4 linked regions of the Lonchura striata genome follow. The protein of the gene in region 4 purifies or fractionates together with the protein of the main gene of each other region. This does not show direct contact. Links are inferred from orthologs where the notes say so. Each region holds a gene or a part of one and is shown on either strand. Other genes may lie near its edges. The genes, in order: SETD1B, OGT, BOD1L1 and CXXC1.

The links.
Region 1: the proteins of CXXC1 (region 4) and SETD1B purify together in Homo sapiens (affinity purification with mass spectrometry; 11 studies listed by BioGRID and IntAct, counting the BioPlex papers as one, with this or other methods). This does not show direct contact. The link is inferred for Lonchura striata from reciprocal best matches to the Homo sapiens genes CXXC1 and SETD1B.
Region 2: the proteins of CXXC1 (region 4) and OGT purify together in Homo sapiens (affinity purification with mass spectrometry; 3 studies listed by BioGRID and IntAct, with this or other methods). This does not show direct contact. The link is inferred for Lonchura striata from reciprocal best matches to the Homo sapiens genes CXXC1 and OGT.
Region 3: the proteins of CXXC1 (region 4) and BOD1L1 purify together in Homo sapiens (affinity purification with mass spectrometry; 5 studies listed by BioGRID and IntAct, counting the BioPlex papers as one, with this or other methods). This does not show direct contact. The link is inferred for Lonchura striata from reciprocal best matches to the Homo sapiens genes CXXC1 and BOD1L1.

What each region holds. Positions count from the first base shown.
Region 1 is NC_134620.1:12,363,897-12,371,005, reverse strand, and holds the start of SETD1B (histone-lysine N-methyltransferase SETD1B), read left to right. Parts: upstream 1-4,093; 5' UTR 4,094-4,345; coding exon 4,346-4,418; intron 4,419-4,780; coding exon 4,781-4,935; intron 4,936-5,361; coding exon 5,362-5,460; intron 5,461-5,955; coding exon 5,956-6,226; intron 6,227-7,109. UniProt on the Homo sapiens protein: Histone methyltransferase that catalyzes methyl group transfer from S-adenosyl-L-methionine to the epsilon-amino group of 'Lys-4' of histone H3 (H3K4) via a non-processive mechanism.
Region 2 is NC_134616.1:18,902,610-18,910,565, forward strand, and holds the start of OGT (UDP-N-acetylglucosamine--peptide N-acetylglucosaminyltransferase 110 kDa subunit), read right to left. Parts: upstream 3,014-7,956; 5' UTR 2,882-3,013; coding exon 2,845-2,881; intron 1-2,844. Other genes in the region: TAF1 (transcription initiation factor TFIID subunit 1), read right to left, coding at 4,289-4,505, 5,524-5,701, 6,450-6,600, 6,815-6,913. UniProt on the Homo sapiens protein: Catalyzes the transfer of a single N-acetylglucosamine from UDP-GlcNAc to a serine or threonine residue in cytoplasmic and nuclear proteins resulting in their modification with a beta-linked N-acetylglucosamine (O-GlcNAc).
Region 3 is NC_134606.1:14,432,738-14,440,444, forward strand, and holds the start of BOD1L1 (biorientation of chromosomes in cell division protein 1-like 1), read right to left. Parts: upstream 3,015-7,707; coding exon 2,820-3,014; intron 2,448-2,819; coding exon 2,323-2,447; intron 1,112-2,322; coding exon 921-1,111; intron 1-920. UniProt on the Homo sapiens protein: Component of the fork protection machinery required to protect stalled/damaged replication forks from uncontrolled DNA2-dependent resection.
Region 4 is NC_134638.1:856,190-863,689, forward strand, and holds the start of CXXC1 (CXXC-type zinc finger protein 1), read right to left. Parts: upstream 3,005-7,500; 5' UTR 2,952-3,004; coding exon 2,949-2,951; intron 2,857-2,948; coding exon 2,759-2,856; intron 2,145-2,758; coding exon 2,044-2,144; intron 1,493-2,043; coding exon 1,389-1,492; intron 763-1,388; coding exon 607-762; intron 1-606. UniProt on the Homo sapiens protein: Transcriptional activator that exhibits a unique DNA binding specificity for CpG unmethylated motifs with a preference for CpGG.

The sequences.
Region 1 (7,109 bases), on a different chromosome or scaffold from region 4:
AGGGGGGGAGCGAGGAATGGAGCGATGAGCGCAGTTGTTGCGAAAGGCGCGGGCTGCGGTGCCTCCTTCGCGGCAGCACCCTGCTCCCTCGCAGGGAAACAGCCCTGAGCCTCGGCACATACCACAGCACAGGTTGTACAAACCCACGGACCGGCTTGTGCTGAGCCGCAGGAGCTGCGGGCAGGGCGCACCCTGCCCGGCACATGCCGCTCCCGCAGACAGCCTCTGCCAAGCAGCCACTTACCTTCTCCCTCCCTCAGAGTCCGCAGGACGGTCCTGCTCTAGCCTTACCAGGGAGGCCACCTCTATACAGTGTTTGCTTTTCCTCCCTGTCCTGCCCTCTGAAGTGGTTGGTCAAGCCAGGCTTTCCTGGCTCACCTACTCTGGGTCTGCAGTGAGCACAAGCTGCAATTCCCCGCAGAGCACAGCGAGGATTGTGAAATTCCGAGATAACCCTCAGCCTCCACTCAAAGCGAGCTGCAGCAGAATCTGCTCGGGGAAAGAAAAAAAATCCCACCAAAAAAACAAATCAGAAGGAAAAAAAAAAAAAGAAGAAGAAAAAAAAAAAAAGACGCCACATGTAACACCTCATCGAGCCATGGCGGCTCCACTGCAGCACGGCACCGGCTCCGCGCCAGCCCTGCCCGAGCGGGCCCGGGGAGCTCGGCGCTGCAGGCCGGAGGAGGCAGGGCAGCGCTGCCCCGGCTGGGTGATGGCGGAGGGGGAACAGCCCAGGAGAGGCAGAGAAGGAAAACAACAAAGAGCCATGTGACGGGGAGCGGCGGCCGCGCTCCCCCCGGCGCACCCGCTCCGGGCGGGGAGGTGGCGGCGCCGCCCGGCCCCTCCCGCGGCCAGCGCTGCTGCTTCCCCCCGTCTTCCACACCGCCCGGGCTTTAATTTTTTTTGTGCATTTTATTTTTTTCTCCTTATATGTATAGGGAAAGGGGGGTGGTGTTGTTTGTTCCTCTTTTTCCCCCCCTCTGCATTAGGCGACTTCCATGGCTTGCTGTTTTTATAAAGAGAGCAGGAGGCTGCGGCGGGGGAAGGGCGGTGTTATTTATAGCAGCCGGCATTATCCGAGCTGCCTTTGTCCTCCCGGCCGGCCGCCCCCCCGCCCGGCCCGGCTGGAGCGCCGCCAGCCCCGCTGCCGCAGGGCGCTCCCGCCATGTTGTGCGCGGGGAGAAAGAGCCGCTGCTCCCTGCCCAGCTTCGCCCTTCCACAGCCCCTCACAAAGCGCTGGGGGATGGGAGGGGGAAAAGGGAAAAAAAAAAAAAACCAACCAAAAAACAACACCCCAAACCCATCATTTCCCTGCAGCGCCCGGGACGCGGAGCGCCGGGAGGCAGCGGGGGGAGAGCCCGCCGCGCCACCGCCCAGCGCTGAGGAGAACGCGGCGCCGAAGGGAAGGAGAAGCCATGATGGCGGCTGCCCTCACACAACACGGAGCGCGACCGGGAGCGCCGTGCCCGCCCCTCCCGCCGCCCGGGACACGGTGCTGCCGCAGCCTTTCACATAATAAACCCACCAGAATTCGGCGGGGAGGCCATTTTCGTGGGCTGGGTGGCGGCACTAAAGCACAACTGCTGTGAATATCAACTGCGTCACGGCTCTCCATCTGTAACACTCAGGCTGCAAAGGGTCCCTCACTTGGAAGGAAACTCCCTCATTTTGGATATACTTCCAGACCTCCTTTTTCCCCCCTCTCTCCAAGTCACTGCCTCTCGGTATGAAGGATTTTACAGTGCTTTCTAGGGAGACATCCGCCATTAAGACTCACCGTCGTGAAAAACACCCCCCCATTTTGTTGCCTGTTTTTTGTCGAGCTTCTGTAATTAGACGGATAAAACATGTAAGGGATCCCTACCACCACCACCGCCTTCTCGCCTTTTTTAACATCAACCTCACTAACATCTTACTGTTCACAGGCAGATTTTTTTTTTTTTTTGTGCTTTCAATTTAACAGCCACGTAATGCCTGCCTGCAATGGATTCACAGCGTCTCTCCGCACCAAAAAAAAAACCAAACCCACCCAGGGCTGAGGACGACCAAGAGCTTTGTGCAGAAAGAGAAATCAAATCCCTCCCTGAAAACAGACGTTTCAGAGGTACTGTTAGATGTTTCTGAGGAGAAGGAGATCGCCACCGCTTTCAGACGACCATTGGGATCTTTCCACCCAGGACAATACCATTAGCTACAGGCCTGGGCTATTTGTTCCTCTGCAAGGGCAAAAGGGTTTACTTACCCGCACACCATAGTTGAATGCAGCTCTGAAGGTGAAGTTGTTACTCTTTTTTAAAATAATGGCTATAAGTATATATATGATCTGTATCACCACTTCTCTCGTAAGTTTGCGAGGCAAAGCGGATCTTGTTAAGATAAGTTATGGATCTTTGTGTGACAGTGGTCTAGCATCAAAAAAAGAGGAAAAAAAGGGGGAAAAAAAGCTATAGAAAAAGTCCAGCTATGTTGACTGACCGTACACAGGCGAGGACTCCTGCTCGAGGCTTAAATCTACCTTCCTGTGGCAGATTTACTCTGTACATAAAAAGGACGTTCAGTGTTTTTCCACAGAGCACGCAGACACTAAAAATATTCTCCTCAATAGTTTTAGGCTGCACATGTCAGTGTGAAAACACCTAGTTAACATTTACTGGTGCTAAACAACTTTTAAGCATATCTTAGCCAGATAATTTGCTTTATAAGTAAAATATTTCAAAAAGCATAAATTGGTTTAAACAGACAAAAACATAAGACATGCAAATGAAGGCTTAGCAATAAGGACCACTTCAGTAACATTAACATGAAAACTACACTTAGCGAGGACAGAATGGATTGGGTACTTACAATGTAAGAGGAAAGAAAGAGAAAAAGCTTATCATAGTAAAATTGCCTTATTTTTTTTTTTTGCCAGAAATTACTATTCCTATACCCATATTTAAAACATTACCTTTTAAGCACCAAAGGAGTTAATAAAAATGGCCAGGAATCAAGTGTTTAATACAAGAGAGAAGTCTCTCAAATTTATTGTTCAGTCATCAGAGCTGCTTAAAGCTTAAAAACCCCCAAAACAATGAAAAAATAGAAAAAGAATGTATTTACTCTTTTTTTGTTGGCATTCGAAATTGTTAACTGCTGACATAGGGTGTGCCGTGACCTAGTTACACAAGACAAAGATGGATCCCGAATCATAAGGGTGAAAAAAATCCGCATTACTTTTTTTTTTTTTTTTTTTTTTTGTTAAGGGTTTGAGATATATCTATATATTTAAATCCTCCTTCTTCAGTGAGTCGTCTGGCACCGTGCTAGAGGCTCCCACCACCCCGCGTGGTGTGGATTCACATGGCGGATCCCCCTTTATGGAACAAAGGAAAAGCCCAGTTGGCCATTTCGCTCCACTGCAGAAAAATGGCTGCGGGTCCCGCGGCCTCTCCTTGGCTTCTGCCGCGCGGTGCTTTTACCCCGCCGCCTAATAACTCAAGCCCCATGGAAGCCGCGCTCCCATTGGCTGCGCCCACCGCGCTGCCGCCGCCCCAGCCAATGGCGCGGCCGCTCCCGGGGCCGCCGCGGCCCCGCGCCCCGGGACGGCCGCGCCATGCGCCCGCCGCGCTCCGCCCGGCCCCGCGCCCGCCGAGCGCCGGGGGCACCGCGCCGCCCGCCTCTAACACCGAAAACAAAATGGAACCTCCCCGCTGATTGGCTGACGAGGGCTCCGGACCTTTAATAAGCAAAGCTGCTCCCCCATCTTCCATCACCCCTTCCTCTGCGTGTGTTGCCACCCCCCCCCCCCCCGCACTCTCCGCCGCAGCGGCGCGGCGGGTCCGCGCTCCACCCGCCCCCGCGGTCGCCCGGGCTCGCTGAAGTCTTTCCCTAAAAAAAAAAAAGAGAAAAAAAAAACGAAAAAAAAAAAACCAACTTGTCCCACCTATAGGTCCATCTTGTTTAGAAACAGTTTGCTCTAAGGTAAATGCAGCGGGCAGATTCCACTCGCCCCCCCGCATGCCGTTAACCCCGCGGCGGGGAGGGAAAAAAAACCCGCGCGTCCCGGTGGCGGCCCATGCGGCGGCGCTCGGCGGCGGCGGGGCGGCGGCGGGCGGCCGCGGGCCGGGGGCTGCGCGGCGCGGCCGCCGTGAATGTGCAGGCGGCGGAGCGCGGTTAGGCGTTCGCGGCGCTCGCAGCGGTGTATTGTGGGATCCCGGCCGCCGCCAGCAGCGAGCACACACACAATATGTGGTGGCTCGCGAAAACGGGAGGCAGGAGCCTGGCGGGCAGCCCGCGCCGGTAACCGGCCCCATGTGAGACGGGAGCTCGCCTTTCGCCGCCCGGAGACGATCGGCCGCCCAGCGCGATGTCTTTCCGAGAGACCAAGGCGGGGGAAAAAGCCAAGCACCCTGAAGATCATGGCAAAAAGCAGAGTTCAAGTGAGATTGGGTCTTTTTTTCCCCTTCGTCTTCTTCTTTTTTTTTTTTTTTTTTTTTTTTTCCCTTTCCCTTCTCCTCTCCTCCTCCTCCCTCTCTGCCTCTTGTCTGCTTGGGGTGGAGGGGGGGACCCAGTTGGCAATTCCCCCATTTTGGGGCTCGTTTCGCGGTGGATTTCCTCCCTGCCTGGGTGTGTAGATCGGGCGGCTCGTTAAAAAAAAAAACAAAAAACAAAAAACAAAACCCACACCGAAACGAAGATGTCTTTGTTTAATATTTTTTTTAACTTTATGGTTTTTAGTGTGCTTTTTCTTTCTTTTCCCCTTACCCCTTTCTCTCTTCCCCCCCCTCCCCCCCGCGTTCAGGTTGGATCAACGGAATGGAGAACAGCACGCAAGCCAGCACTTCTGTCGAGAAAAGAAATCACCATTGGAGAAGTTACAAGTTGATTATTGACCCGGCTCTGAAAAAAGGACAGCACAAACTCTACCGTTACGATGGGCAACATTTCAGCATGCCTGTGAGTGGGGGGCTCCCGGGTTTCCCCCATTGTGTCGTGCCTCCCCCCACCAGCCTCTGTTTTACCGGCGTTTTGGGGGCTGGGGGTCCCTCCGGGTCGTGGAAATCCTCGCCGTAGCGCGTGTGTGTGGGAGGGGGGTCTTGGGGGGGGGGGACACGCACAGCCACCAAAGTTACAGCCACCTGACACTGTGTATTCAACTGTCAGGAGCCCAAACCTGCGGCTTTTTTCTGTGTTTCCAATCTGTGTGCATTTCCCAGCAGTATTGCAATTTGACACGTGTGTGTGTGCGCTTTCCCCTTCCCTTGAGACAGCCCGTGCTTCCTCGGGATTTATTTTTTCTTTTATTTTTGTCTTAAATTTCAAGTCTTGTTATTGCTGTTTCTATGTTTTCTCCCCTCCTCTTCCTCCTCCTCCTTCTCCCAGAACTCGGGGATCGCTCCTGTGGATTGTGTCAGGGATCCCAGAATAGGGCGAATATGGACCAAAACTAAGGAGTTGGAGCTGTCTGTCCCCAAATTCAAGGTACTGCCCTGACTTTTGGCTTTAGCTCTGGAAACTTGTTTATCTGGGAGTGAAGCCTGAGTTCCAAATAGTTTAATGGACCGTTTAAATGACAGTCATATTTATATTAACATTGTTATTTAGCAAACTGTTTAACAATAATCCTCTTCTATGAGGATAACAAGAAATCAATGCATCTGTCTAACGAGATCACTTGAAGGTTTTGGAGCTGGGGCTTCTGGGGCAGGGGACAGTGGTGGGGGGGCTCTCCGCTGACAGTACTGCTCAAAATGCATCTTTGTAGCCCAGAAAAGAGCCGGTTACAATGACTGGCTGCAGCGGCAGAGCCTCTGCTCAGCTCCGAGGTTCACCCAGAGCCTTGGAGGTTTTTTTTCCACCCCAAAGTTTGCAGGATGGTTTAACCCCCTCCGTCCCGTGCCATCCTTAGGTCCCTCCCCCGTACTCATTAACAATGCCGATAATTTTTATCATTCCCCACCTTGTGCTCGTTTCCAGATTGATGAATTTTACGTGGGGCCAGTGCCTCCCAAGCAGGTCACCTTTGCCAAGCTGAACGACAACATCCGTGAAAACTTTCTGGCCGACATGTGCAAGAAATACGGCGAAGTGGAAGAGGTGGAGATTCTCTACAACCCCAAGAACAAGAAGCACCTGGGCATTGCCAAAGTCATCTTTGCCACTGTCAAGGGTGCCCGGGAGGCTGTGCAGCACCTTCACAACACTTCTGTCATGGGCAACATCATCCACGTGGAGCTGGATACAAAAGGTGAGGGGGCACATTTGGGGTTTGCAGAGCCCCTGCCCGTCCCACTCCCACCACAGGGGCTGTTGCATAGGGCAGGGACCTGTGATTAAAAATACGAAGGGAGCCGGCAGCGGGTCTGGTGTCTGGGGCCTGGGCGAGTCACGTGGAGCCAAATGTGTTGTCTGTTGCTAAGAGACAGCCCTGTAATTTGCAAAATGCTGCCATCCTGCCTCTCCCCTGCCCATCCCTGTCCCTGCTTGCTACCCTCTCATGTCCCCCATCTCCCTGCCCCAGGCTGGTCCCTCTCAGCCACCTGCTAGGGCTGCTGGACCCGGTGGCACCTGCGTTTTGCAAACTTGGGATTTTTGGGCAAGTCCTGGGACCCAAATCTGTGGATTCCGGTGGCAGCAGCGGGGCTGGGTGCTGTCCCCTGCGTGCCTGGCATTTCATTGATACTTAGAGCGGGCTGGGGGCTGGCACAGCAGAGTGCACACGCAGCACTTGTCAGTGTGTGCGAGTGTATAAGTGTGAGACTGGCTCTTAAAGCGACAGCAGCTCCCTGTGCTGGAGGAACCAGCTCCAGCCCCACTCCCGAGCCCTCAGAAGCCAAATAAAGTTTCTGCAAGTGTGAAGGCATTGCCTTTGGTCTGTTCTCTTCTCCTCCCAGTGTGCTAGTGAAAGGGCTTTGCTAAAATCTGCCTGAATTTTAGAAAATGTCTAAGACTGAGGAGGTGTGGATCAGTTGCTGATTGTACTTCTACATTCTAAAGGTGGCATTTCTAGTTTAAGACTGGTTTGCTGCACTCTTTCTTGGGAAAAAGATATTGCTAACACCATTTTCTTAAAAATGCTGATATTTTTGTTTCAACAGTTTAGTGCACAACCAACACAGCATTTGGTGTGC
Region 2 (7,956 bases), on a different chromosome or scaffold from region 4:
AGAACAAAATACTTAAATGAAATGCCACCTATTTTAGACAAAGCAACCAGAAGTGAGAGAAGTAAGTAAAATTTCTTACAAAGTAATAAGCAAGTGCAACTTGGAAAACCCACAACCATTCATCATAGAAAGAAGTGTTGGCCTTCAAATTCTGCCTTTATATCAACAACTCTTACTATTAAAATGTTTGATTACTCCAAGTATCTCTCATTTTCCCTCCTGCACTCTGCAGCCCCTTAATTCCATTCATTAAACACTTTCCACCTCATCCTACAGTTTTAAAATTTGGACTCTAAATGAAACAGATAAACCTTTCCTAATACAAGAAAGCACCTCAATACCTGAACCTACATTTTTGTAGTAAGGTAGTACAAAAGTTCATGATTTTGTGAGAACTTTAAAGATGGCAAAAATAATCATAATCATATAATTTATATAATCATAAAGATAAATACAGATTTACTACCTAGCATTTATTTTATGAAATTGGGATTGATGTAATTTATTTAAATTACTTTCAAATTTGGGGGTTTAGCACCAGTAGGTTTCAGTATAAGACTCCAAGTCCTGTATGATATAAGTACAGTATTTTTTCCAGATAGTGTATTGTCTCTGCCACAGTAAATTTGAACTACCACTGCCAGTCTCTTTTTAGATAACTGACAAATTAGTAACCAAGTATCTTGATCCAGATTAGATTCCTGTTTTTCAAACCCTGAGTAAGAGCAACGTGGACTTCAGGATGTGGTTAAACATACTGGCAAAGGTAAAAAGGTACAACCTTTATTCAGTATGAGAATGTTGAACTGTGGCTGAAAACCACACTGCTTATAAATGGTGCTGACAGTAATACTGGAGCACCAGCAAACTGTTCCTCACTTGGTCCCTGTGCTGTTAACAGGTTTTGCCCTTCTGGCAGTCAGCGCCAACTTCCGCTGATGGCACAGAGAAACCAGATAGAGGAATAGCGTGTCTCATGAACTCAATTTCTTCTTCAAATACATTTCAATTGTTTTAGTAAATGTCAAAGAAAAAAAAAAAAAAAAAAAAAAAAAACCAACTAAAAAGCACCCCAAAGCTTAACACCCCAGAAGTTTTCACTTCAAGACTTATGACTGCAGGGAAAGAAGCTTTCAGTCATAATATCAATGCTACATTTTGCCTACTTAAAGCAAGAAGTCAAACTGCAGGTGCAACTGCCAGATCAAGAGAGCAGGCAGTGGAGATTTAACCCCTGAAAATGAGAACTACTAACAAAACCAACAAACGAAGAAACACTTGACACTTTCTTTAATTTATCAAGAGCCTCTGTTTACAAAACAAGCCAAAACCTTTGTCTCCAGAGATAGGGCAACCTCAGTGTAAAACTGCCAGTCATCTACCTCCAAGCAGTTATTTTATAATCGATTGTGAAGTACACTGAAAAGCAGAAGTGGACAGCCACATCACGAAGCCCAGAACAAATGAAACTTTTAATACAAAGTTGGCTGGAAGTTATGGAGTGCAAAATATCCATAAAAGAGCCCATGAAAGGATGCTCACTGAATCAATTAGTAAAGAAAATAACTGCAGTGAGAAGTCACAGCCAGGAAAATCCCTTTTCGTGTCTTGCATAAATTAATTTCTGTACCTTGGCTAATTTGTGCTGCATGCTTTGACTGTGACCTTGGAAAAGTCTAGTACAGTGCTGTGACAATGACCTTCCCTGAGGGTTCTGGACGATACAAGCAAACAAAAAGCTGCACAGAACCACCAGAAAGGCACCCAAGGCCATTTTCCCCCCACAAATACCATCCTAAGCACTTGCAATCAAGCTCAACCTTGCCTTCAGACACCATCTAGTTCCAGACAGAAGCAGTGGTTCCCTCCAGCTGGGAGGTGCTGGATAGCACAGGACTCCCTCCCAGCGTGCACGTGGCTCTTTTTACCCGCAAGGATCCCGGCTACAAGAGGATGCTGCAGCCTCGCTGACCACACACAGTTCTAGCTGAGAAAGTACGAAACACCGTACTGCAGCACTTCTCCGTATCACTACCGCTTCTCTTTAGATCCCTATCTCCTGCACCGCTGTCCCGTCTCTTTCTCCAAAAATCCTCCTTTTCCTTTTGCTTTTCCCAAGCATCATTTCAGCTCTCCCCACCCCCCCTGATTACAGAAACCCTCAAAATCTGGGGGATAAAGCTGCGCTGTCCTTTCACCCTTTCAGTAAGCCAACACTTCTTTCTCTTGCTGTACAAAGGAAGTCAGATTTCTCCTCCATTCCTCAAGTTCTGGATCTGCGAACTAAATTTAGGGCAGGATCTTTCCTTGATACAACACGCAATTTTACTGTTCAGAAAAGCGCTTTAGCGTTCGTCTATGCCACAGAATCATGGAACGTTTTGGGTTGGAATGGACCTTAAAGATAATCTCGTTCCAATGCCACCGCCACGGGCAGGGACACCTTCCATTCGACCAGGCTGCTGAAAAAAAAGTCCTGCCTAAGTGCAGCGAGCGATTCTGGGCAAACCAACGCACACTTTGGGTCAGGCTTTTACCCTACTTCGCCCTCTAACGCAGTCACCTGATAGTCTGGTAAATATAGCAGCGAGCCCGCCGCACTCACACCTCCCCGGCAGCGGCCCGGGGCTGCCCACGGGCAGCGCCCACCGGAGCGCGCCCGGGACCGCGCCGGGGCCCGGCACGCACAGACCCCACGGGCGGCGGGCACCGCGCCGGCCGCGTCCGGAAACCTCCGCTGGGCGCCGGCCCGGCCGGCGGGGAGCGGCCCCGGGGCCGAGGGCACGGCCGGGCCCCCGCCGTCCCCGGCCAGCCCGTCCTCGGCAGCGCCGCAGCGCACGGTACCTGTGCTGTCCGCCACGTTCCCCACGGAGGTCGCCATCGGGACAGGAGACGGGGAAGCTGTGGCGGCGACGGCAGAAGGTGCGCTCGGGCCGGGCCGGGCCGAGCTGCCCGCGGTCGCGGCGCGCTGAGGCGGCGCTCCCGAAATGGCGGCGGCGGCGGTACCGAATGGCCGCGGCCGGAACTATCCCCGCGGAAAAGAGTCCGGGCGGCGCCGGGCAGCGCTGCCACACGGCGGGCGGAGGGACCTGCTGCAATAGGCACGGGTCGAGATAAAGTTATCCTTCCGCGCGCAGCGCTGCGCCAACGGCGGCGGCACTGCGCATGCGCCGCCGCCTCCCGGCACTCCCGCACGTGGCCCCGCGGAACCGGCGGGACCGCGGCGGCGGGACGGCGGGGCTGGGACAGCGGGGCTGGGACAGCAGGGCTGGGACAGCGGGGATCGGCCGGCGGGGCTGGGACAGCGGGGCTGGGACAGCGGGGATCGGCCGGCGGGACGGCGGGGCTGGGACAGCGGGGCTCGGCCGGCGGGGATCGGCCGGCAGGGCTGGGACGGCGGGGCTGGGACGGCGGGACGGCGGGGCTGGGACAGCGGGGCTGGGACAGCGGGGATCGGCCGGTGGGGCTCACCGCGGCATCAGCTCAGACACAGTGCAGCTCCGTCACACGGACAGCAGAGCTCAATAACCGGGACACCGGAGCTCACCGTGTACCCGCACAGAGAAATGGCAGCCAAGGCGTCCGTGTCCCCATTCCTGCTGTACTGCATGAGCTCCGTCAGCCGCACCAGGACTCCACACCGAGCTCCGGGGACTGCACTAGCTCCCCGGGGCACTGAAAGTTAGCAGTCTCCGGTGAACCGGGAGCCTTCCTAAAGGTTCAAATCACCAAAAGTCTGGTTTCTGGAACCTGGAACTTACTGCAACTTCTAGAAAAAGCAGGGCAGCTGTTTCTGAGGTATTGGTAGGAGTTAGGCAGTTCCCAAAACCACTGAGGGGTCAGACATCAGACACTGTATTTGTAGTCCCAGAGAAAAAGCTCCCCTTTATGAAATGAAAATTGCCTTAAAATTGTTCATCAACAGCAAGTATTTCATTCTGAGCAAGCATTTTTCCTGACAGATACTCATTTATCCAAAGAGCCAGTATTTCTGAGGAATTACTTTACACCTATAAAGACTGAAGAACAAACCATACAAATCTCTATCTGGATTCTGGAACCAGTACAGGCTACAATAAGCCAAGGCTTCAGCAGGACATGCTTGTCTAATGCTTATTCTTCATCATTTACTCATTCATATAACATGTTTTATAGTCAATTAAAATATATCTTAAAAGAAATCTTGTTAACACAGCCCACACTACACTGTTCCTCACACCAAACTCGGACAAGAGAAATTCAGGAGGCAAGAGTGGCCCAGGATGACCATTATCTCAGGGAAGGGACTTCATTCATCTGAGTCCAGGTCACTGTCTCCTGCAATGGAGTGAAAATCCTCGCTGTCCTCCTCATCCTCAGACAGATGGACCTGACTTAACACACTTGGCCCAGACCGCTGCTGCTCTTCCTCCTCTTCCTCTTCTGAGATCTCATAGCCTCCAATGCTGCTGAAACTCGTGTCTCTTGTGTTGGACTTTGGGTCTGGTTCTTCGTAGCTGCCATAACTAGAAGAAAGAAGAAAATTTCAAATTAGTTGCTGATACCATCAATTCTGTATTTAACTGCTTAAGAGTTGGCTTGAAGTCCTGTGAACCCTAGGGAACCACTGCACATTTCAATTCTGTCACTGGCCAGCTTTTTAAAACAGAAACTAAAGAAAAAACAGTTCTCCAAGGAAACAATTCCAGTATCTTCACTCCACTCTGATACACTTCAGGCAGGAAAAACTGATCGCTCCCACAGCTTCTGTCACCTTCCCTGCAGACAGAAAGTGCAGGAATGTTTTCAACCCATTCTCATCTTCTCCAGTACTTCCTGCTGACTCTGGTCAAGATCCTGGGCTGGAATGACCATTGCCTGCCAGCCCAGCTACCTTTTAGCTCTGATGCCTGTGATTTATTAGGCAAATATCAATAATGACACTAAGGAACTGACTTCCACAAGTAGAAGAACAGAGAATCAAATACTTATACTCAACAGAATGCCCAAAGAAGGCAGAGTAGGTTGCTGTTCTCTTGAATGCAAAAAAATAAAGCTGATACTGTTGTACTTTTAATTTTCTAATAATTGAACACCTTCCAAAATACAGAAGATGCATATTCCTAGACTTCTGGACTTCAACTAAACAACTGAATTTCAAGTCAGGACATACTTGTTCTTAGAGGGAAAAAAAAAAGTCAATCTGTTAAATCACTTTTTAACTTCAAAGGCATCTTGTAATTGGATATAGCTTGTAAAAACCTTTTTTTGTCCTGCATGAAAAACCACTACAAATATGCAAGAAATCATCTAACTTAAAAGAAAAAAAATTGTGGTTTTTTTTCTAATTTAATTGGTATTTTTATTAGTGAAAATATAACAGCATCCCAAATTTCTGTCAGTAAGACTAAATGGTTTTTATGATTGCAACAGTAAGAACAGTCACAAGTTAACTTTAAGCAAAATATTAGATATTCTTCAGGTTTTTATGATGAACACTTCAAAAATCTTTTAAGAGAAGAGATTTTAACCAGTTCTAATTACCTGATATTGCTGTCCTCCATTACATGAGATGTCTCCCCACCATCTCCTTCATAGGACATCATGCTTTCTTCATTGTCCATGCCCATCCGTGTGTTCTCTTGAAGAACATGAGGTTGTTTGGGTCTCACTGCATTGGGCTCCACATCTGAGTCACTGCCACTCTCACTCAGCTGGATAGCTGTGTAATGACCAAAGTTTGGTCACAAACTGACAGGTTTGTTCTGTCACTTACATACCCACTACTGTCTGTGTTTAAAGGCTGCAGTGTTGACTGTAAGGAATGTTTACAAAGTCGTGTCTCCACACGGCAGCAGAAAAGGTGTCTGGGAGGTGACACCACTTACTGAGTGCCCAATTCTGATGTTATTCCAAAGCAATCTCATTACCACCATTACTCAGAAAGGCCTTATGTCTTGTCTACTCTGAAAAATTCCCCCTTCTTCCCTCCTAATAATTTTCAGAAGTCATTGCTAAATACCACTATATGCTTTTCTGCATAAGTTTGTATTAAAACATAGAAACAATCTGAATAACCTCTGTACACCTCTTCCTGTTTGTGATAACATTGCTTTTTATGACAACATTAACATTTTACATTTAACATTGATAACCCTATTTCATGTCAAAATAAATGTACTTTTACTAGACTACCCATTCCTGGCTCTGCATACCAAATCATACTCGCAGTGTTTTCAGAACCATTTGCAGTTTTACTTTATGACATACAATCAACAAGATCTTGTCTTAACTCTGCTTTCATGTGTGTCTGTACATACAGCATTCTCATTACACTTTTGTTTTCAGTCCCATTTGTGTTCATCCAGTTTCCTCATCTTGCCCCTTTGGTCTCTGCTCTCTAGAGCATGTTTTTGTGATAGAAGCATGAGATCAGCTGGGTTAATGAACAATCAGAAAAGGACACTTACACGAGAAAGGATTATCTCCCTCTTCATCACTCCCATCATCATCATCCTCTCCATCAGACATAAGCAAGTCTTCATACAGGACACTGGCTTGGGTCTGCTGGGCTGATCCTTCTTCTTCATCAGCAAGGTCACCATCTGCATCTTCAACTTCCTGGGTCACACAAACAGGGATGATGAAGATCCAGCAGCATGCTACCATTTCTATCATAGATTTCCCACTCTATCCACTCTGAAGCATTGTGTCATTTTGCAGTGCTAACTTTTCCAAACTGCATTTCAGAGCCTGTCTCAGGGCAGCAGGCACAACAGACAGCTCTGCAAGTCAGCACATACACTGTGGCTGGGATTTCTGTAAATACACTCACTGGGGCTGGAGTCTTGGGCTTGCCATCATCATCCTCATCAAATCCTTCAATATCCACATCAGAGTCTTCCTCGCCCAGCCTACCTCGTCCCTGGCGCATCTGGATGGGAACACAAACAGCAGTGACACTCAGGAGGGCACTGCTGACATCACCCAGAACAGCAGTGGCACTGAGGAAGGATATACTGGACACCACCCAAGGGGTGTGAGGGACACCTGGGCCACAGAGATGGGTGTGGGAGTACAGGAAGGGAAAGACAGAAAGGAAAATATGTGTATCACTCTCAGAGCAAGGATCCTTTTTATTGCAAGATCAGAGAGCACAGTCTCCACACACTTCTACCTGATGTGCTCATCCTTGAATTGGCAATCTCCAGCCTTACAGACCAGAGTTCCTTGTTCAACTAGTTATTTCTGGAAAATAGCACTAGGTTGTAAAAAAAGTGCTTATTTTCATAATATACTTTAAAAGCATACAGCACTTCCCTCAAATATTTTCCTGTCCTTCCCTTCCTGTTCTTCCCACAGTCCCCATGAGTCCAAGATAAAGAAAACATGCAGATTCTGTCCCAAAGACTATAAATTTCTACAGAAAGCTTGAATACTTCCAAATCTAGAAGGCATTCACAAAGCTACAGATGGCTACAATACTACACAGAACTATTCATAACCAATCTCTGTTTGCCTGCATTGTTCAGAATAGCTCTCACCAGTCTTTCTGGTATCACCTTCAGTCTTATGACTCCTCACTTTCTTCATCCTACTAGTAATTTATTTTCATAGTCCTATTACTGCATATCCTTCTGCTATTCTCTCTCCTTCAACATTTATTGTTTTGTTTAATACAGAATAAAGACTAAGGAAAAATATTCGTGGTTACTGTAACAAGTTCATTTCTAATTATTTAATCCCTTTAACCTGTGTGCTTTTTCTTTTCCTTTTACAACTATGAGGTATCTACAGTGGCAACCATCTGTTCCAAGCTCCTAATTATCATTGGATGCAACCATAATAATCTAATTATGATCTTGTGAATCTGTAGAATATCCTTCACCATTTCCCTATTCAGAATTAACAAGGGATTGCATATTAACCCTCTGTAGCATGAGTCACCAGGTTTCTACTTCCAGAAGTAGTGAAGCA
Region 3 (7,707 bases), on a different chromosome or scaffold from region 4:
CACGATGTGTTTGGGCAGGAAGCACTGTACAATTACCAGAGATCCATTTTGCACTGTGACACACCACTGTTCCCGAGCTCTGCCTACAGAAAGTGAGGAATGTCAATGGGAGTGACATCTGAACACAGCCCTTGTTCAACTTTACCAACATCCTAATTCAGATGACAACGTATATAATACATATTCTTTGTATATATATGTATATACACTGCAAGAGAAAGTTGATAGCTCACACCTCTAATATCTCCATAAATGTCATAGAAAATCAACTCAGCGTACTGACTATATAACAAGACTATCAGAAATACCTTATCACTTATCATTTTAGAACAAGCTTTGAAGACGAAGCATTAGGCAGAGTAGCACTGAGAACTGCAGCTGGCTTGTTAACCCATTTTAAAGGAAGTGGGCCCCACAGGATAAAGGCTTGGATTTAAATAAAGGTTACAAAGAGATGGATGGCTGTGAAGTCTCTTAGAACAGGAAAGAATGGACAATTACCTGCAGGAGTGTTTAGGAGTTGATACAGGTAATATTAGGACCTTAGCCATCCAAATTTTATGACACACAGCAACTGCACAGGGAACTGTCTCTTAAATAAAAAGCTGCATCATTGTTCTCTTACACATCTATGTCTTATCTGATCCTATAATACTGAGACCAGCTTTTCTCCCCACAATAAGCTGATCCCTCATAATCTCACCAGAAGTGAGTGAGTGACATGGTCACAGCGTGACATCTCTTTTGCCTTCTACATTTAAACATAGAGTAAGAGACAAGTGTTCTGGCATGCTGCTTGGAGCTCAGCTTGCTAATACTGATACTAACAGCATTATGGTAGCACAAAACCTAGTAAATGATTCTGCTCTCTTAAACACCATTCTTTTGTTAATATACTACTCAGAGAAATGGTAGAATACCTTGTACTGTAACTGATGCATCTGCTTTCTCCTCACTTGGAGATGTACTGGGGCCTGCCTCCTCTTTGTGATTCAATGTGGCTAAAAATTCATGGACAGCTTTTTCCACCTGAGGTCTGAATGTGTGGTTGATCTTTGGGTCCACAACCTGAGAAATAATTCTGTCAATTCCCGATTCCAACATTCCAGACCTGGAACAAAGTTACATAAATTAGTATGAAAAAATAGTTTTTAAGATCATTTAGATGTGCTCCAATGAAGCACCAATGTTTCCTGGGCATTTCCACAGCTATGCACTTAGCCTGTGCCTTACCCATAAGAAAAAATGTGCTAGAGAAACAAAACAATCCAAGCACATGGAATTAATACAAGCAGCCTGTTGTTACATCATTAGTGGTTACAAGTGTGATCAAACTGCAAAAACAGTATTTCTGGAAAAAATTTAGAAGAAACTTTGTATTAGGAATTACCATAGCAAAAAAGAGATGAATTACAGATGGTATGAGGCATAAATAACTACTAAACCACTCATCACTACCCTAAGTTACTTTCTGCCCAGTATTATGTGGCAGGTTCTGCAGCTTTATAGAACACATTTAGCCTTCAGTAAAATAAAAAAGAAAATCCACAGCTATAAAGCTTATCTTTTTAGACCCCTGTAGTCTTTTGTGGGACATATGACAACTCTTGTTGTCATTGCTTTTTTAACAAGAAAGAATAGTTGCTTCCTTCCCTACAAACCAAGCAGTCCTCAGTACAAGTTATCAATGGTACCACCACAGTACAGCTGATTAAGTTTGTCCCCAAATCCGAGGTTTGACCCAATTTAATGGCCAAACTCATGGTACTTTGAAGAAATTTCCTAATGTTTCTTTGAAAAGAAAGTCTGAAGGAACCTTCATGAAATAATGTCATATCAGGTTAAAGCGTCTGACAAAATTTTAACAATAACACCAGTTCTTAAAACCTCTTCTCTGTCCAGCTGTATTTAAATACATTTTTCTATTTTGTGACTTCAGCTTGATGCTCTGCAGAGTTTAGTCTGTGGAACGTTTCCCCTTAGCTCCAAAAATGATTATTGCAATTTTATTAACACCTCCCTTAAAAGAAAAAGCAAAGATAGCATTTAGCTAGGGAGTTACATCTCAAGTCAAAATCGAGTTTTCCACCCCTGCATAAACTTGGATCAGATCAAAGAACATCTGCAGTCTAATTCTGGCTAATACTGAGGGCAAGTTACTACCCCCAGTAGTATTCCATTTTCAACACTGAGAGGGGAAAACAACCCAACTTCTTCAAACATTTCTCTTAAGAAAGCAACCCACTTTACACAGACCCAGACCCTTTGTGACCTATCACAGTACACAAGCATATTCAGAGCAGCTCCAGAGCTGTCACTTACTTGAGAACCTGCTGCCTAATGTTATTTCTCAGCTGGTTCTTGTTGAGATGAGGACTCCAAGTATGAGTTGCCAAATGGTTGGAAACAAAGTTGTCAACGCGCTGTCTCAAATTCTGGTAGGCAGGCTAGAAAGCAACAGCAGAGAGGTTGGACGGGAAGGATCACGTACGTGGCTGGTTATCCTCCGGGAGGCCAGGCTGGTACAGCAAGGAGCCCCGTCGGAAGCCCCGGTGCTCCGCAGGCGCAGCCGCTGCCCTGCGGCAGCGCGTTAAGCACTGCCCCGCCGGGCCCTGCGCGAACCGGGCGTGTGTGACCGTGCGTGCACGGCCGGCCGGCCGCGCTCCCGCCGAACGCGGGCTCCGGCTTCGCTCCCCGGCCGCGAGCGGAGCCGGCCCCGCGGCCGCTCCGCACCGCCCGGCGCACCGCCCCGGGCCGGGCCCGTCCCGACCGCCCGAAGCCCGGGGAGCCCCCGAGCCTCCGCTCCCGCCCGCCCGCACCTTGGTGTCCACGTCGGCCAAGCAGTCGCGGCGGAACTGGTCGAAGAGCCCCTGGCTCTTGAGGTGGTTAACGATCATGGAGACCAGCTCGGGCTCGGCCGCGCCGCCCCCCGCGCCGGCCCCGGCCCCCGGCAGCGGCGGCGGCTGCTGAGGGGGCGGCGGCGGGGGCGGCGGGGGCTGCGGGTTGGTGGCCATGGGGGCGGCGGGGCGGCGGCTGCTGCCGGCGGTGCCGGCCGGGCCCCGGGACGGGGCTGCTCAGCGAGCAGCGGCGGCGCTGGCCCCGGAAGCGGAAGGGGACGGCGGGAGGAAGCGGCGAAGGGGGCAGGCGGAGGCGCCGCCGCCGAGAGCGGCGCCATCGGCGCGGGACGAGCACTGGCGCGGCCGCGCGCAGCCGCCGCGGGCCCTGCACAGGGGCGGAGGGGGCGGAGCCGCTCGCGGCCCCCGGGCCGGCGCGACCCCGATCCGCCGGGCCGAGGAGGCAGAGGAGAGCAGCGGCCGCGGCGCCGCTCGGCCTCCGCCCGCCGCGCACACGGCTCCCCGCGCGGCGCGGCCGCCGCCGGGCGCTGCGGGCACCGCGGGCGCGCCCCTGTCCCCGCCGCCCCGCGCCGCTGCTGCGCTCCCGGCGGCGCCGCGCGGCCCCGCCCTGCGGCCCGCCCCTTCCTGCGCCCGCCGCCATCGCGGTGCGGCGGCGCGCGCGCTTCCTCCCTCAGGGGCGGGGCGGCGCCGCGGGGTCACCGCCGGCGGAAGCGGATGGGGCCGCGATCCGCGATCCGATCGGTCGGGATCGCGATCGGAGTCGCGGTCGCGTCGCTCGGGACGTCTCGGGGCTGCTCCTGGCTGATAACGGGCGCTGCCTCCGCTCCCGCCCCGTGCGGCCTCCGGGGCCGCTGTCGCCGCGCCCCTGGAGGAAGCGGCTGGAAGATGATACTTAAAATACTCGAATTCAAGCTTGCCACCTTTACCTATCAGTGCATTCTCATGCGTTCGTGTAAAAGAAACGTCTTCAACACATTTCTTGTTTCCTGGTTGCCTTCTTGGCCCTTGTTTTTCATGTACAGTCACAACTGTCCAATGTGCTGAGGCAAGGAAGATTCAGATTAGATATTAGAAAACATATTTTTCACTGTTTGGGTGGTCAGGCATTGCAGTGGGTTGCCCAGCAAAGTGATGGAGCCACTGTCCCTGGAATTGTTTGAGGCATCTGGACCTGGTTCTGTGTGATACAATTTAACCTGTAGCCTCTGCTATATATGTTTACAAACTGGTTATGACTAAAATTGCTTTTGCATTTGCTTTTAAGACACTCTTAAGTTTTTGACATATTTTTAATACAAGAAGTCTCAGCAAGTTTCCTAATGTCTTCTAAATAACGTAGACAGCAGATGTAGTTACAGATGCAGTTGCTAAACCTCAAGCAATATTTGAATTGCTGAGGAAATACTAAGATATGAGACAGACAGAAATGAGATGTATATTATATTGTGGGAACAAATTGTTACATGGCTGCAGGCTGGAGAAGTACATGAAAGTACAAGTCACAAATATCAGGGAAGGTGCTTGTGGCTTAGAATGCCTGCTCTGTGGGCTACTGGGGACTGGGAAGGTATTTTTTTCTGTTTCTAGCTCTAGGCTTTTTGTTCCTGAATATGAGAACGGCTCTAAGGCTGAGTAGACCCATTTCGGCCATTGCTGTCACGTCAGCAAGCTGCTCAACTTGTGATTTCAAATTAACATATTTTTATCTCAGATTTTGTCTCATTTTTGTCTAACTAGGGGCACAAGTGTCATAGGAATAAAATACTGTGATGAATTTGGAAATACTTTTACTTGTAGTAGCATAAGTAAACATAAAGCACTGGCAATAGCTCACTTTTACTTTTTTAGACAATGTTGCAGAAATCTTATTTTATGCATGGCTACCACAGGCATCAAATTCAGAGTGGCCAACTGATTCTATGAGTGTTCATAGACTTAAACTCTGTTGAGGTCAGTTCATACCATAATTGTTAAAAATGATGACTGAACTTGGCAGGTTTGTTGCTATTTTCTCGTTTTTGTTTGTCAGTGAAACACTTTGTGTAGTTTTTTCCTCAAAAACTTTGTTCATGTTGTGTATGCTGATAATGAATCTAAATTTATGAAGTATGTGAAATCCAGGTGACAGCTGGATTAAGAAAGTAAAAAAAGAAGGTAAAAGTCCTTCACTTTGCATGGATTAATCTGAACAATTTTGGTAGTGATAGGAGATGCCCTTCTTCTGTGATGAATTCTGTTGCAAAATTCTGTGCTGTGCAAAGATAAAGTACTGCTGTTGGTACTGAGCATACAAAGGTGCTGTTCCTCTTTAACCACTGCAGTCTTTTACAGACAGAGGTACACAGAAAGGGGAGCTCTTTAGTAACATTTTGAGTTTTGTACTAAAAATAAAGACTTTTCAACAGGAATAACTTAAATGCCTGAGCAGATTCTTGGATAGTAGAAGCTCTAAAGCTGCCCAACACCAACAAGAGATCTGTCCTGGATGAATTGCTCACTTCTTCCTCTGCATATGTGGTAACATGTCTGTGGCTTGCACCATCTGTGTTACCATCCATTCTCTGAGGTTTATTATCTTTTATTGTGTGGCTTATTGGTATGTTGTTTATTATGGCACAATAAACCCTAGAACTGGATGGTGAATTGATTTGTTGTATGAATGTGCATTGCCTGATGCATATTTAATTTTTGTTTCTCCCTGTGCATAAACAGTATACTTTTATGATTATCTCTAGGTAGAGAAAGCCTCAGATTTTCTGGTCCTTGCTATTGCAGGATTTTTCTAAAAAAAAAGGCAAAATTATGCCTAGGAGCAGCACTAGTAATCATAATCTAGTCCGCTGTATTTTGGAGCAGCAGAGAAACGGTGCCAGCATTGCTGAGATTTTATGCTTCATCAATAACAGCATATGTGGCTTCAGCTAAGCTGCAGCGTGAAATGCTGTAGTTGCAGGACTGAAATGTAGCCAAGGCACGGACTATACCTTCAGCTGTGATGTGACTGGAATGGTGTCCATATCCTTACATGGGAATAGTTGCAGTAGATAAAATGTTATTGGACTGCCATAAATGGAGGATATGATTCTGTCATCCTTTTTTTAGGTATGTAAATAAGAACATTTGGATAAACTGTTTAGTAGTGCATGCTTGAAGTGCTCTTTCTGGCTTGTAACCATGTTTCCTTCATGTTTTTATCTGTTCAAACAGGTGTATACATGTATTTATATTTTTTATTTGGCTGGCAAGTAGGCCCTGTATAAAATGTGAAGCATGTGGCTTGAGTGAATTATCTGTAGAACAGCAAATGTATTTTGCTTCAATGGGAGGCTGCCTGTTGTGTTTTCTACATGCAAGCCTTTGGGAAGTGCATGAAAACAGTGACTAGACAACATGTTTTTAAGTGATGAAAGGAAAGCTTTTATTTGGAGTAGGCTGTCATGACCTTGCACTGACACCTCAAAAACTCTTTGGTCACTTCTAAAGAGAGCAAAACTAAAACTACCATGTGACTCTGGTTCTCCCACTGGAACTGACCAGGATAACTGTTAGTGATGCTTAAGTTCAGCAGAGATGGACATTTGGTGGCTCCTCAAATTGACAAGTTAAATAGATAGACTGAAGTGCTTTGTAAAAATACTAAACTTGTCATGTTCAGTAGCTAATATAACTGCTTGTATTTGCTGGGAAGATTGTCTGATTAAAGTTTGAGAAAAAGCGAAGTCTTGTAAGTCACATTTCATCAACCTGGATTTTTTAATACTTTTTATTGATATGCAGAGACAATAACTCATTTTATGTAGCCTAACATGGTAGAACCATTTAAAGTTACACCTCTGAGTATAACTTTATCTGAAAAGTTAGGATTATTTTTTCCAATTTCAGAACTTCAGTGTGACACCAAACCTGCACATAATGCTTTTTAAAGTACATTATTTTGAAGGTACAGCTATGCCTTTTCTCCATTTTTCTTATTTTATGTCTCTGTCAATGCCAAGAAATTGAGTTTCTGGATGCCCAAGTTTTGTGAGATGAATAGAGCCTTTTTAGAGGGTGACATTTGAGAGCAAAAAAAGATTACTGTCACAAATAGCTTTAATACACAACATTACTTGATTTTGTTGTTGTTGTTGTTGTAACCAAGAAAGGAATCTTCAAGGGCAGATGGAGCCTTGACCTGCCTGTGAGAGGAAAGCCCATCTGTGTGGCCGTGGCTGTGACTGGTGATGCAACGTTTGTGCTGTTCTCTCTCATGGCAGTGAGAGAAGGGACAGGCACATGACAGCTTTCTTACCTCTTCACAAGCAAACAATGACTAATGGATGTAATATTGTTGGGATTGTTGTTGGCATCTAGGGAGTTTGACATTTAATTCCTGCTAATGTGATCGATGATCTCAACATATCTTTTTTTTCCCCTTTTTATTCCCTGCTTTTTTTTTTTTTATTTTTTTTCTTTTTTTAAATGTAGGTTCCTGCATGCTGGAGAGTTACCACTTTGTTTCTCCATTCTGGTGAAAAATGATAGAAGGAGTTACTGGGCTCCCTTTAATAGAGTTTTTACTTTGGTGTTTGTTTTTGACTGGAAAATACATGTTTTTGCTATTTGTGTACAGGGAGACAGAGAAAACTTAATGGAAACTTGTTCTCCAGAGAGAGCACAAGAGATTATATATTCTGTCTACACTCTTTCACTTTTGCCAAAATGTAATTTTAATGGTAAGGTAAAATGGTACAGCTTAAACATGAAAGCAGAGTCAGTGGATACACAAAAGCGTGACACATTTTATATCAGCATTCTTTGCTGACTACAGCAAGGTGAAATCAAGGTGGAAGCATCGCTTAAATGGAATGCA
Region 4 (7,500 bases):
GACACAGAGACAGAGAACAAGAACACACAGGGACACGGGACACTTGGGTACACAAGACATGTTGGGGACACATCGGGGACACGCTGATAAGAGTGACACAGACATGGAACGTGAGGACAGCGAGACAAGGTGACACAGGGACATAACAGATGTTGGGAACATGTCAGGGACACTGTGGACAGTGACACACAGACATGGGGACACTTGGGGACACCTCAGGGTGACACAGGGACAGGCAGCAGTTTTTGGGGACATAGAGCACGTGAGCAGTGGGGGACACGGGGACATGCCACGAGCGTGACACATCAGGGATGTGGCATGAGGTGACAAAGAGACACAAGGACACAGCAAGACAGTGACAAAGGGACACGGGACAGGGTGACAAAGGGACACGAGGTGGTGACAGAGGCCACACGACAGGGACACTGTGACAAAGAGCCACACTGGGGACACAGCGGGGACACACCAAGGTCACCCCAACACCCCCAGCCCTGGCAGGCACTGAGGCCACGCCACACAGGGGACAAACCCCACTGCCAACACACACCAAGGACACGCTGGGGACACACTGGGGACACGTTGGGGACACGCTGGGTGCCCGCTCACCCGCGCCCGCAGCTGGCACTGCCGCAGGCGGCACTTCTGGCGGATCTTGTTGGGGCCCCCGAATTTCTTCATGTCCCGGCAGAAGTCGCACTGCCCGCAGTCCTCGGGGCGCCGGCACGCCTCGCACTCCCCGCACATGCGGGCCGAGCGCTTGATCTGGGGTCGGGCACCCAAAAACGGGGTCAGGCACCCCGAAAATGGGGTCAGGAACTCCAAAAATGGGGTCAGGCACCCCGAAAATGGATTCAGGCACCCCAAAAGCCACCAGGAACACCCCAAATCCCACCAGGGTCACCTCCGCCTTGCACTCCCCACACACACGGGCTGAGCGCTTGATCTGGGGTCAGGCAAACAAAAATGGGGTCAGACACCCCAAAAATGGGGTCAGGCACCTCATAAATTGAGTTAGACACACCAAAATCCATCAGGAACAGTCCAAATTCCATTAGGGACATCCTAAATCCCACCAGGGACACCCCCACCTCGCAATCTCCAAATGCAGGCTGAGTGCTTGATCTGGGGTCAAACACCCCAAAAATAGGGTCAGGAGACTAAAAAATTGAGTCAGGCACCCCAAAAGTCCACCCGGGACACCCCAAAACCCAATCCAGAAGGGATCTCAGGCACCCAGAGAAGGTCAGGGGTCTCCCAAATCTCCCTCAAAGCACCCCCCAGCTTCCTGCTGTCCCCCAAATCCTCATCCCAATGGACTCAGGCACCTCCCAGCCTCCCCCCAGCATTGGGGTGTCCCCCTTAGTGGGGTCCCCACCCCCTGAGCCCACCTTGGCAGCCCGGCCCTGCTCCATCTCCTGCCCTTTGGCCCCCTCATGCTCCTTCTCCCGCCACTTCTTGTGCCGGTACCGGATCTCCAGGGACGGATCCTTCTCTGGGAGGGGGGTCACAGAGGGGTCAGGGGGTCCACCACCGGGGACACCCCAAAAACGGGGTCAGGCACCCCAAAAACAAGGTCAGGCATCCCGAATCCCACCAGCAACCCCTCAAACCCCACCAGGACACCCCCGCCTCGCATAAGGGCCGAGCACTTGATCTGGGATCAGGCACCCCAAAAACCACCCAGACCCCAAGTGTCCCTGGAACCCCCCCAAATCAGAACCCCCCACCCCTCTAACTTCAGCCCAACACTCCCCAATGACCCCCCAGAACCCCCCCAAAGCCCCCCAGAGCCCCCAGCCCCTCTCACTGCAGCACTGCCACTCCCCAATGACCCCCCAGAACCCCCCCAAAGCCCCCCAGAGCCCCCAGCCCCTCTCACTGCAGCACTGCCACTCCCCAATGACCCCCCAGAACCCCCCCAAAGCCCCCCAGAGCCCCCCAGAGCCCCCAGCCCCTCTCACTGCAGCACTGCCACTCCCCAGTGACCCCCCAGAACCCCCCCAAAGCCCCCCAGAGCCCCCCAGAGCCCCCAGCCCCTCTCACCGCGGCACTGCCCGCAGTACCACTCGCGGATGGCCTTGGCCATGCGCTCGGTGATGTTGATGCAGTCCCCATGGAACCACTCGTTGCAGTTGTCGCAGCCGCTGCGGGACAGGGGAGACACCGAGACCCTCAGCCAGGGACCCCCGAAGCCCCCCAGGGGGACTCTGCACCCCTCCCTGCTTCAAGGCACCCCCTCAACAGCCCCAGGGGCCAAGACAAGCTGGGACCCCCCCAACTCCCACCCTGAAAAGCACCCAGGACCCCCAGCTGGCCCCTCAGATCTGCTGCGACCCCTCAGACCCCCCCTCACATCATGAAGCACTTGGGGACCCCCAGACCCCCTCACATCCTGAATCACTTGAGGACCCCCATTTCCCCTCACACCACGAAGCAGTTCAGGACCCCATTTCCCCTCACACCACGAAGCAGTTCAGGAGCCCCCCAATTCCCCCTCATACCACGAAGCAGTTCAGGACCCCCATTCCCCCTCACCCCATGAAGCAGTTCAGGACCCCCCCAATTCCCCCTCACACCACGAAGCAGTTCAGGACCCCCCCCATTTCCCCTCACACCACGAAGCAGTTCAGGACCCCCGTTCCCCTCACACCACGAAGCAGTTCAGGACCCCCCCAATTCCCCCTCACACCACGAAGCACTTCAGGACCCCTATTTCCCCTCACACCACAAAGCAGTTCAGGACCCCATTTCCCCTCACATCATGAAGCAGTTGATGTCCGGCTTGCGGCACACGCAATAAACCGGCGCGTTCTCCTCCCCTCCCGGGGCCGCCTCCGCGTCCGAGAATTCGCTGTCCTGAGGGGGTACCGGCGGGGGTGTCAGGCCCGGGGGTGCCCCGGACACCGCAGACCCCCCGAGCTCCCCCACACCCCCGGTCCCCCCCTCACCATCGCTGCCGCCGCCTCCGAGGGACGCTCCGGGCTAGGCCCAGCAGCGGCCGGAAGCGGGGGCGGAACCAACTTCCGCTTCCGGTACGGGAGAACGACGTACAGCATGGCGGCGGCCAGGGGAGCGATGGCGGCCATGAGGGCCGCCGTGTTTGGGGGGATTGCCACCCGCGGTCGCAAAAAAGACGCCGGAGAGAGCAGTGGTGGCAGGGCGTTTATTGGGGACGTGGGGGACAGCGGGACGTGGGGTACATTGGGGATTTTAGGGGACATGGGGGACATCAGGGACCTGAGGGGACGTTGGGGGCACATGGGGAAAATGGGGACATAAGGGGACACTGGGGACATGGGGGACATTGGGGAGAAACTGGGGACATGAGGGACATCGGGGACATGAGGGCACATGCGGGACATTTTGGGGCACATGAGGACCTGGGGGCACATGGGGGACACTGGAGAGAAACTGGGGACATGGGGGAAAATGGGGACATGAGGGACAATTGGGAAATGTGGGGAGGATGGGGGGAACTTGAGGGACAATGGGGGACATGGGGGAGCTTTGGGGACCAGAGGGGGACAATGGGGGACATGAGAACACGGCAGGCACAGGTGGCGCGCAGGTAACACGCAGAGGTGTGGCACAGGTGTCCCGTGGGGTGTGTCCATCTTGTCCCCATCACTCTGGCTGAGCCTCCAGGGGGCGCTGCAGCTGCTGCAGCTCCTCGGCCAACCTGGGGGCGGGGCCAGAGGTGGGTGGGGCCAGGTGACAGGGCCACACCTGTCCCACACACCTGTCCCAGGGGTCCCACACTTGTCACACACCTGTCCCAGAGGTCACACACTTGTCCCAGGTGTCCCACACCTGTCACACACCTGTCCCAGGTGTCACACACCTGTCCCAGAGGTCATACACCTGTACCAGGTGTCACACACCTGTCACACACCTGTCCCACACCTGTCACAGGTGTCACACACCTGTCCCACACCTGTCACAGGTGTCACACACCTGTCCCAGGGGTCCCACACCTGTCCCAGGTGTTCCACACCTGTCCCAGAGGTCACACAGCTGTCCCAGGTGTCCCACATCTGTCCCACACCTGTCCCAGAGGTCACACACCTGTCCCAGGGGTCCCACACCTGTCCCACACCTGTCCCAGGGGTCCCACACCTGTCCCACACCTGTCCCAGAGGTCCCACACCTGTACCAGGTGTCCCACACCTGTCCCACACCTGTCCCAGAGGTCACACACCTGTCCCAGGGGTCCCACACCTGTCCCAGGTGTCCCACACCTGTCCCACACCTGTCCCAGAGGTCACACACCTGTCACGGCGCTGCCGGCTCAGCTGCTGCCGGCCCAGCTCCACCTCCAGCTGTCGCTCCGCCCCCTCCTGGTCCTGCTGCACCAATCGCCTGCGAGAATGGGGGTTAGGGGGCGGGGCCAGGCCTGAGTGGGCGGGGCCACCTTGGCGGGGCGGGGCCAGAGCTGGGCACTCACCTGAGCACAGGTGCCTGTGGGCCCAGCTGCTCCTCCGTGTCCATCACACGGCGCTCTGCGCAAGGGGGGGACACCGGTCAGCCCAAGGGGGCACACCTGGGTTTGGGGGGGCTCAGGTGTCCAGGGGGTCACTCAGGGGCTTGTGGGAGAGGGGCTCAGGTGGCCCAGGGCCGGTCAGGAGATCACTCAGGTGTTGGCAGGGGTCACTGGGGTGTCTGAAGGGGGTCCTGGGGGTCATTCAGGTGTCAGGGGCTCACCCCAGCTCAGCCACTTCTCCTCCATCTTCTCCAGCTGCACCAGTTCAGCCTCCAGGTGGGCCGGAGCCTGTGGGGGGACAGTGGTGGGAGGGGGACACGGAGCAGGGGACAGGGTGTGTGATCCCAGGGTGTGCCAGGACACCCAGGTGTGCCAGGACCCCCAGGTGTGTGAGGGACCCCAGCCCCGGGCTTACGTGTGTGACACGCAGGTGCTTGAGCTCCTCCATGATGGACTCGAGCTGCTGGCAGTGCTGCCACCTGAGGGTGAGGGGACACAGGGGTGACACGGTGGCCACATGACCTGTGTGGGTCACCTGGTGCCACCCCCAGCCCACTTGTGTCCCCCAGCCCCACCTGTATCCCTCAGGCTGTGTCCCCCAGCCCTACCTGTGTCCGCCAGCCCCACCTGTGTCCCTCAGGCTGTGTCCCCCAGCCCCACCTGTGTCCCCAGCCCCACCTGTGTCCCCCAGCCCCACCTGTGTCCCTCAGCCCCACCTGTGTCCCCGGCGCAGGTCTTTCAGCTGCTTCCAGTGCTGCTTTGTCCCTTCCATGTCCTGCTGCTGCTCCAGGCAGAGCCCGCAGTGCCTGTGGGGGGTCAGGGGCCACCAGGTGTGTTTTGGGGGGGGGGCACAGGTGAGGTTGAGGAGGGTCACAGGTGTTCCCACTCACCTCTGGCCTTTGGCCTCCACCTCCTTCCCTTGCAGCTGCGCTCTCTGCAGTGACTCTGGGGGGTCACAGGGGGTCACAGGGGGTCACAGGGGTTGAGGTCAGAGGGGTCAGGGGGTCACAGGGGCCAAGGGGGTCCCTCTGTGTGGGGGAGTCAGGAGGGGCCACAAGGGTCAGGGAATCATGGGGGTCAAGGGGGCTAGAGGTCCAGGGGGCATCAGGGGAGGTTTTGGGGGGGCCCCAAAGACCCCAAGGCCCCTGGGCTCACCCTGCACCTGCTGCCAGGACCTCTCCAGTGCCTCCTTGCGCTGGTCCACTGTGGGGAGGGGGCAATGAGCTCAGAGCCCTCTGTCCCCGCAAACCCCTCAGGATCCCTACACACCACCCAAGGACCCTACAGACCCCTCTCTGTGTGTCCCCAGACCCCTCAGCGTCCGCCTCCAGACCCTCTCTCAGTGTCCCCCACCAAAACTCCTCTCTATATCCCCCTCCAGACCCCTCAGAGATCCCCCAAACATCTCAGTGTCCCCCTCCAGACCCCTAAGGGATCCCCCAAACCTCTCAGTGTCCCCCTCCGGACCCCTAAGGGATCCCCCAAACATCTTAGTGTCCCCCTCCAGACCCCTAAGGGATCCCCCAAACCTCTCAGTGTCCCCCTCCAGACCCCTAAGGGATCCCCCAAACATCTCAGTGTCCCCCTCCAGACCCCTAAGGGATCCCCCAGACCCCTCAGTGTCCCCCCAGGTGACTCACGCTGCTCCAGGTGCTGCCGCAACCCCTCACTGCAGTCTTGTGCCTTCACCAGCTCCTGTGCCGTGGTCTCACGGACTGTGGGACATGGTGGGACAGAGAGAGGGACGCATGGGACACAGGGGGACGTGGCAGGCACATGAGGGAGCACAGGAGGGCATGTGGGACATGGGAATATGGGGGAGCACAGGGCTCCTCACACTCACCTTTCTGCAGGCTGTGCATCTGCCTCAGCAGCACCTCCAGCTGTGGGATCCCCCCAGGGGGACCTGAGGGGGGAACTGGGCAGGACGCAGGGACATTGCCCCTCCTGGGGACACCCGAGACCGCCTGGCCCCTGGGGCGGGGGGACACTGGGACACAGGGCGGTCTTGGGGGGTCCTGGCTGTAGAGCCTCTCACTGCGTGGGTTCAGGTCCATCACTGAGCCTGCAGGAACATGTGGGGACACAGGGTACATGGAGGGGACGGAGGGTACACGGAGGGGACACAGGGTACATGGAGGGGACACAGAGTACATGGAGGGGACACAAGGGTACACAGCGGAGACACAGGGGTACATGGAGGGGACACAGAGGTACATGGAGGGGACACAGGGGTACACAGCGGAGACACAGGGGTACATGGAGGGGACACAGGGGTACACGGTAGGGACACAGCAGATGATGATGGTGGGCACTGGTTTGTCCCCTCCTGTCATCTTTGTCGTCTTCTTAGTTCCCCTTTTCCAACCCTCAGCCCCACATTTTCTGTCACACTTCACCATTTCCTCCCTCCTTATCTCTTTTCTCCAGGGTTTCTCCCATTCCTGTCACCTCTTTCCTCCAGTTCCTGCCGCCTCTGTCCCTTTCATTTCTGTCCCTCATTTCCCTCTTGCTCCATTTTCTGTCACCCACACCCTCTTTCCAGTCCTCTTTTCACACCCTTCTGTCTTGTGTCCTTACATTTTGTCCCTTTTCATCCCCCATTTGCCCTCACCTTCTTTCTGCAGCTTTCTCAGCTGCTATCCTTCCTATTTTCTCAGGTTTTCCCACCCTTTTCCCCCACACGTTCTCCTGTCTTTTTCCTCCCCTCACGTTTTCCCGCCTTTTTTCCTCCCCTCACGTTTTCCCGCCTTTTTTCCTCCCCTCACGTTTTCCCGCCTTTTTTCTCCCCTCACGTTTTCCCGCCTTTTTTCTCCCCTCACGTTTTCCTGCCTTTTTTCCTCCCCTCACGTTTTCCCGCCTTTTTTCTCCCCTCCCGTTTTCTTGCCTTTTTTCCTCCCCTCATGTTTTTTTGCCTTTTTCCCCTCACGTTTTCCCACCCTTTTCCCGCCCTTTCCCACTAACATTTTCCTGCTTTTTCCCTAATTTTTCCCACCCTTCCCCCTCATGTTTCCCTGCCT